Linked DNA regions of Oryctolagus cuniculus. The protein of the gene in region 1 interacts with the protein of each later gene in a pairwise test. Links are inferred from orthologs where the notes say so. Each region holds a gene or a part of one and is shown on either strand. Other genes may lie near its edges.

Region 1 (3,745 bases):
AAGATGGCCAGCGCCGCGGCTCAATAGGCTAATCCTCTGCCTGTGACACTGGCACACCGGGTTCTAGTCCCGGTCAGGGCACTGGATTCTGTCCCAGTTGCCCCTCTTCCAGGCCAGCTCTCTGCTGTGGCCAGGGAGTGCAGTGGAGGATGGCCCAAGTGCTTGGGCCCTGCACCCCATGGGAGACCAGGAGAAGCACCTGGCTCCTGGCTTCGGATCAGCACAATGCACACCGGCCGCAGTGGCCACTGGAGGGTGACCCAATGGCAAAAGGAAGACCTCTCTCTCTCTCTCTCTCTCTCTCACTGTCCACTCTGCCTGTCAAAAAAAATTTATAAAGATGTATTTATTTATTTGAAAGGCAGAGTTACAGAGAAAGAGAGAAGGAGAGAGAGAGAAGGAGAGACAGAGAGAGATCTCCCATTTGCTGGTTCATTCCTCAAATAGCCAAAATGGCAGGAGCTGGGCCAGGCTGAAGCCAGGAGTCAGGGTCTTCTTCCAGGTCTCCCACATGGGTCCAGGGGCCCAAGCACTTGGGCCATCCTCTACTGCTTCCCCAGGTGCATTAGCAGGGAGCTGGATCAGACTGGAGCAGCCAGGACTCGAACCAGCATCCATATGGGATGCTGGCATCCCAGGTGGTGGCTTTACTGACTACACCACAGCGCTGGCCCCCAAAACATTTTTTTTTAAGATTTTATTTATTTATTTGAAAGGTAGAGTTAAACACAGTGAGAAGAAGAGACGGAAAGGTCTTCCTTCCATTGGTTCACTCCCCAAATGGCCACAATGGCCAGAGCTGCGCCAATCCAAAGCCAGGAGCCAGGAGCTTCTTCCAGGTCTCCCACATGGGTGCAGGGTCCCAAGCACTTGGGCCATCTTCCACTGCTTTCCCAGGCCATAGCAGAGAGCTGGATGGGAAGAGGAGCAGCCAGGACCAGAACCAGCACCCATATGGGATGCCAGTGCCGGAGGTGTTGGATTAACCTTCTGTGCCATGGCACCAGCCCCACCCAAAGCATTTTTTTTAAACGAATCTCTCTCCCCCCCCCCTTTTTTTTTTTTAAGATTTATTTATTTCTTTGAAAGGCAGAGTTACAGAGAGGCAGTCAGAGAGAGAGAGCTCTTTCATCTGTTGGTTCACTCCCCAGATGGCCGCAATGGCCAGAGCTGTGCCGATCTGAAGTCAGGAGCCAGGAGCTTCTTCCGGGTCTCCCACATGGGTGCAGGGACCCCAGGACCTGGGCCATCTTCCAATGCTTTCCCAGGCCATAGTAAAGAGGCTGGATCAGAAGAGGAGCAGCCGGGACACAAACTGGTGCTCATAGGGGATGCTGGCGCTGCAGGCAGAGGCTTAGCCCATTACACCACGGTGCCAGCCCTAATAAATAAATCTTTAGGAAAAAAAAGAATCTCATGAGTGAGATTGATGGGGCTGAGTGTGGGGGTGGGGGGGGTGTGAACCCCTGTGCATAGAGGGAGGCAGCGTGCACAGAAAGGAAGGGGCATAGGAGTGAGAAGAGGAGGCCAAGTGACCCACAGCCTCACCAGCACTTCCTAGGGAGGTGCTCCTTTATAACATCCCAGTTCCTGTGGGGTCACTCTGCCCGGCCCTGCCTCCTCCCCACTGGGTTCCCCTGCTGCCCTCCCACAGTGGCCTTTGCTCATCTGTCCCCACATCAGGGCTTTGATCACCACATGGCTGCCTCCTCCTCCTGCAGGTCTCAGCTCAAATGTCACCTCCCCAGGAAGCCCTCCCTGACTCCTCCAGCTGGCAGTGTCACCAGAACCAGCCACTAGCTAGCTATACATGTCCATGTAACACTTGTGAGAACATGAAGTTATCCTATGGACTGAGTTATTGGCTTCGTCACCGCCCAGTGGAAGGTAAGCTCCATGAGAGCAGGTACTATCTGTCCTGCTCCTGCCAGGATTATCAGCATCCTAAACAGCACCTGATGTCCCGCACGTATCTGTTAAACGAATGAAGCAGGACGAGTGGAAGCAATGAATGGAACCCAGACCAGACATTGGGAAGTGAGGGGAAGTGGAAGCTGGGAGCTTTAGGACTCAGGTTCAAGGTGATGTGCGCTAGCAGGGGGGACAGGTCCTAGGCAGGAGGCAGAAGCAGGGGATGGGAGGCTGGAGGTAGAAATGCAGTGGGGACAACAGATACCCGTCTGTGTGGGGGGGGGGGTGTAAGTGCTCAAGAATAAGGGAGCAGAATATGAATGAGCCTGGGACCCAGAGCAGGGCAACAGCATTCAACGCTCACTCTCACATCTGCAAATGAGCAGGAACAACGCCCCCCACCAACAACCAGGAGACTGTGGGACCCAGGTGGTGCTGGGGACTTACCCACGGGACAGCATCTCCCTGGAGGATGGGGGAGCGACAGGCAGATGGCCACAGGGGGGCAGGGCCGAGCCAGGGGCACAGCCGTGTGCAGCGGCCCAGGTCAGGTGAGAAGGCACGCTGCGAACCCGGCCACTTCTTCCTTGATCCAGACCGCCAGGCCAATGGAACTGCAGGGACGAGCCCCTGGACTACTGGTCTCTGGGTAAAAGATAGGTGGGGCGGGGCTGGCCTGAGACCGCCCCGGGCATCCTGCTTCCCCCGGCAGGCCTGCTGGACTGCGGAGCGGGGCTGCCTGCCTGGGCCAGGGCCTCCTTCCCTTGGGAGGGGAGGAGCCACTTGCAGCTCCACCTGGAGCCCGGGCGGAGAGCAGCAGGAGGACAGGGAGGGGCAAAGACCAGGAAGTAACCCTGGCCAAGCAAAGCCTGACCAATGAGGGGCCGGCTCCGTCCGCGGAAAACCCAGGGGCCTAAGGCAGAGCCCTGGAAGCCCAGGTGCTCAGACAGGAGTGGCATCTGTGCAGGCGCACCCACCCAGGGTGTTGAGGGACTTTTCCAGCCTCTCACCTTGCCCGGGGGTGGGGGAGGGTGGAGAGCCTTGGGCCCTCACTGCAGCAGCAGGTGTGGGAAGCTCTGGGTAGGGGGCCGGGGCAGCCTGGGCAGGTGGAAAGGCAGAGGGCACCTGGGGCGTGGGGTGAACACCATCAGGACCACAAGAGACTGAGACCAAGGCCAAGTCAGAGGTGCATTTATTATCTTCTGGAGCACTCTTCCCTTTCCCAGCAGGGCCCAGGGCAGCCCGATTCTCAGGAGGCAGCCACGCTGCTGCCGGAAGCCGGCCCATGAGGCGGCAGCGTCATGGGCGGCAGGAACAGAGCTTTCAGCTTGCCAGACAGGCTGGCAATCTCGGGATCCTGTGCTTCGTAGGACTTGACCAAGCGGGCAAACTTAAGGACACCTGCAAGAGAGAGTGGATAGTCAGCCCACAGGCCCCAGACTGCAGAATGGGGAGGTGGCTTGAGCTTGTGCTACTGGCTGCTCCCCCTCAAGCTAGGTAGTGTCTGCAAAACAGGGTGCATGCAGGCCTCAATCCGGCATGGTTTATTTCTGGGTTTAAAGATTTATTTATTTGACAGAGAGAGGGGGCAGGGACAGCTCTTCGCCGGAAGGTTCACTCCCCCAAACAGCCACAGTAGCAGAGGCTGACCCAGGCAGAAGCCAGGAGCCCAGAGCTCCATCCAAATGTTCCCTGTGGGTAGCAGGGGCCCAAATACTCGGACCATCCATTGTCTGCTGCTTCCTAGGTGCAGTGGCAGGAAGCTGGATTAGAAACAGTATCCCAAGCAGCTGGCTTAACCTGCTGCGCCACAAGGCTGGCCCTTCCTGCCTGG
Region 2 (3,745 bases), on another chromosome or scaffold:
GGTGCCCGTCCCTGGGCTCTGAGGACACTCAGCCGACCTTGCTCTGCACCTACGGGACGGGGCAGGTTAAAGGCTGGGCTACAGGCTGGCTGTCTGTTCTGGGAACGGACACTTCCCCACGTTTAAAGTAGGAACCCCCGCAAGTGCTGACTACGCTGGTCTGTGGTAGAACCCCCACCAGGCGGGAGAGTACAGCGAGCACGGTGCTGGGGGCAGGGGACACGGGGTGGGGGGGGCGTGCCATCACTACGGAAGCCTGCACGTGGGCTTTGCACACTGTGGGTGAGAATGCAAGTTTGCACAGTCACTGTGGGAACAGTGTGGGGCTTCCTTAAAGAACAAGAGCCAGGACGGCCTGTGACCCAGCAGCCCCGTTCCTGGGTACAAACCCAGAAGAACAGGGACTCACTGCTGCCGTCCCAGCTGTCCCAGCTGTCCCAGCTCTGTTCACGGCAGCCAAGACACAGAGTCAGCCCAGGTGCCCAGCCTAGGATGAGTGGATGAGACAATGCGGTGCACATACACAACGGAATAAAAAGAGCGAAACCTGACGTTTGCAGCAAAATGGCTGGAAGCGGAAGACATCATGTTGAGTGAGATAAACCAGACACAGAAAGACAAACACTGCATGTTCTCCCTTCTATGTGGGAGCTCAAAAAAAAAAACGAAATAAAACCAAACAAAACACCTCAATCTGAACCCAGAATGGTGATTACCAGAGGCTGGGAGGGGTAGGAGGGACAGTGGGAGTTTGGAAAGTGGGTACCAGATCAGATTTAGGTAGAAGGAGTACACTCCTAGTTACCCAGCATAGTGGGGCCCACGGTTCACATTAACCTCGCGTATAGTCTACGGACAAACAGAAGAAAGAAATCCAAGCCTGCACTCGCGAACTGATGTGGAACATGTTGGCTACCCTGATTTGATCAGCGCACGCTGGGGATGTGAACTGAAATGTCACCTGGTAGCCCTTACACCTGTACAATTATTGTGAAGAAAACAATTTTTAAGAAAGTATGTGTTGGCCGGTGCCACGGCTCACTAGGCTAATCCTCCTCCTTGCAGCGCCAGCACATCAGGTTCTAGTCCCGGTCGGGGCGCCGGATTCTGTCCTGGTTGCCCCTTTTCCAGGCCAGCTCTCTGCTGTGGCCAGGGAGTGCAGTGGAGGATGGCCCAAGTGCTTGTGCCCTGCACCCCATGGGAGACCAGGAGAAGTACCTGGCTCCTGGCTTCGGATCAGCGCGCTGGCCACGGCGGCCATTGGAGGGTGAACCAACGGCAAAGGAAGACCTTTCTCTCTGTCTCTCTCTCACTGTCTACTCTGCCTGTCAAAAAAAAAAAAAAAGTATATGGGGGCTGGCACCGTGGTGTAGTGGATAAAGCTGCTGCCTGTGGAGCCAGAATCCCATATGGGCACCGGTTTGAGTCCCGGCTGCTCCACTTCCAATCCAGCTCTCTGCTGTGGCCTGGGAAAGCAGTGGAAGATGGCCCAAGTGCTTGGGCCCCTGCACCCACATGGGAGACCCAGAAGAAGCTCTTGGCTCCTGGCTTCGGATTGGCCCAACTCCAACTGTTGCAGCCATCTGCGGAGTGAACCAGGGGATGGAAGACCTCTCTCTAACTTTTACAAATAAATAATCTTAAAAAAAAGAAAGTATGTACTCAAATGTTGCACTGCAGACATAAGTATATGTTAATAAAAATCCTTTGAATGGCGAAATTAGCCACACACACACAAAGAGTTAGACATGGAGCCATTCTGTGACCCTGCAAGCCCACTGCTGGATGTGGACCAAGGCCATGGACTTGGTGTGCAGCAGAGACGCCTGCCCTCCCCTGCCCACCACAGCTGTGCTCACAAGAGCTGGAAGTGCCCGAGTGTCCACAGACGCACGAGCGGACAGTGTGGTGGGCACACGCAGTGGGGTGCTGCACAGCCTAGGAAGGAATCCACGCGTGGGACACGGATGGGCCTCGAGCACAGGTTCTGTGTGAAATGGGCCAGCCGCGGACACACAAGCGCCACGTGTGTCCCACCCACAGGACAAGTTCACAGACCAAAGGCTGCGGAGCTGGGTGCCAGGGCAGGGGTGACCAAAGGCACACGTTTTCAGTTAGGCGAGGTGAGTCCACTGTGCAGAACCGGGCCCACAGTCACCGTGAAACATCGCCCAGCAACACTGCTTCAGTCATTAATCTTCGTCTATTTGAAAGGCAGAGAGAGAGAGAGAGAGAGACAGAGATCCACGGGCTCGCTCCCTCAATACCTGCAACAGCTGGGGCTGGGCCAGGCCGAAGCCAGGATCCCAGCACCCAGTCTGGGTCTCCCACGTAGGGGGCAGGGATCCAACCACGTGGGCCACCACCACTGCCTCCTGAGATGATCCGCAGGAAGTTGGAAGTGGAGGTGTAGCTGCAACTGGAAGCCAGGCCCTGGTGGGCGTGGCAACTGGAAGCCAGGCCCTGGTGGGCGTGGCTGTCTTCACCACCGCACCAAATACCCCACCCGTGGAGGCCGTGGACGCTTACCGTTTCTTAAGAGGACAGCTCTCATGCTAATGCTGTCGTCTTGTACCCGTAGGGGTCTGTCTGTCATCTGTCTGTCTATAATCTCTATCTTGGGCTAACATGAGCTATCTCCCATCTCCCCCAGCATCCTGTGGAAGCGGGCAGGGGTGGGGTGGCCCAACAGCATATGCAAAACCCCAACGGTATAGCTCGATCAGGAGACCAGACTTGGGACTGGCCTGCGGCCTGGGCAGACGGGCACCTGGCCGCACTGGGAATGCACCTGTGCACACAGAGCCCCGAGGCAGGCCCCGCTTCCCAGCTTCTCGAATCCACTGCTCTGAGGACAGCGAGGCGCTATCGGTCTCCTGGATCAGGTGTCAGCGGCAGATGGCAGATGTCCGCTGCCCCCTCCTTCCTGACAGAAACTGGGCTCTGTCTGTGTGGCCGTCGTGTTCCAGGCACAGGAAGGAAGCGGGGCTGGTGTTACTGGCATCTGGCAATCCCCTCTGGTTCAGTGCGGGGCACTTGAGCAAGCGCAGCTGGTGACCACACCGACGGCAGAATGTTCCGGGGCTCTGGCATCCTGTTTCTTTGTTAGTAACAGGGGTTTCATAGGAGAAGGTTGCCCTCCTGTCCTCTGCCAGCAGCCACGGTCACGCCCTGCTCCCTGGGAAACGCACGCATGGCTTCTCTCCAGTGGCAACGTGTGTCCTGCCTCCTAAGAGTGTGGACTGGACTTCCCGTCGGCTCCTTACATGGGCGTGAAAGGGCCCCCGTTCTCTCGGTGTGCGCCCGGCTCCTGCTGCTCAGCCAGTGTCCGTGAGGTGTATACCCACTAACGCACGTAGCTGTGTAGCCCACCAGTCCCAGGCTTGCAGGGCTCTGGGGTGTGAGCGATCGCACCATATTTACCCCTTCTAGGACTCCCAGGTGCTTGCTTAGTAGTTTGTGCTGTCACACACAGCACGGCCCTGAGTGCAGCAGTGGCAAATGCCAGGTCTCTGGGTCTCCACGTGGGTGTGATGGCAGCTGCCCTTACTCCTCACCACCACGGGCTGGGACTTCGTCCTCAGTCCTGGGCACGTACAGCCCCAGGATCTCCCTGCAGCTAGGGCACAATGCCTGATGGGCTCGGCTGTGGGTCCTGGGGAAGCCCCTGGAGATGAGGCCACCCCCGGTGGGCACCTCTGTAGGGAGGTGAGCAGATCCGCCAGGAGCAGGAGCGGAGCCACCC

What was found. The genes of interacting proteins can lie anywhere in the genome.
Region 2: the proteins of PTPN6 (region 1) and LAIR1 interact in binary tests that used the Homo sapiens proteins (3 or more experiments, as listed by UniProt). The link is inferred for Oryctolagus cuniculus from reciprocal best matches to the Homo sapiens genes PTPN6 and LAIR1.

What each region holds. Positions count from the first base shown.
Region 1 is NC_091440.1:102,598,220-102,601,964, forward strand, and holds the start of PTPN6 (tyrosine-protein phosphatase non-receptor type 6), read right to left. Parts: upstream 2,570-3,745; 5' UTR 2,373-2,569; coding exon 2,359-2,372; intron 1-2,358. Other genes in the region: C9H12orf57 (protein C10), read right to left, coding at 3,161-3,312. UniProt on the Homo sapiens protein: Tyrosine phosphatase enzyme that plays important roles in controlling immune signaling pathways and fundamental physiological processes such as hematopoiesis.
Region 2 is NC_091449.1:4,209,799-4,213,543, forward strand, and holds the start of LAIR1 (leukocyte-associated immunoglobulin-like receptor 1), read right to left. Parts: upstream 2,387-3,745; 5' UTR 2,268-2,386; intron 208-2,267; exon of another isoform or gene 50-207; 5' UTR 1-49. UniProt on the Homo sapiens protein: Functions as an inhibitory receptor that plays a constitutive negative regulatory role on cytolytic function of natural killer (NK) cells, B-cells and T-cells.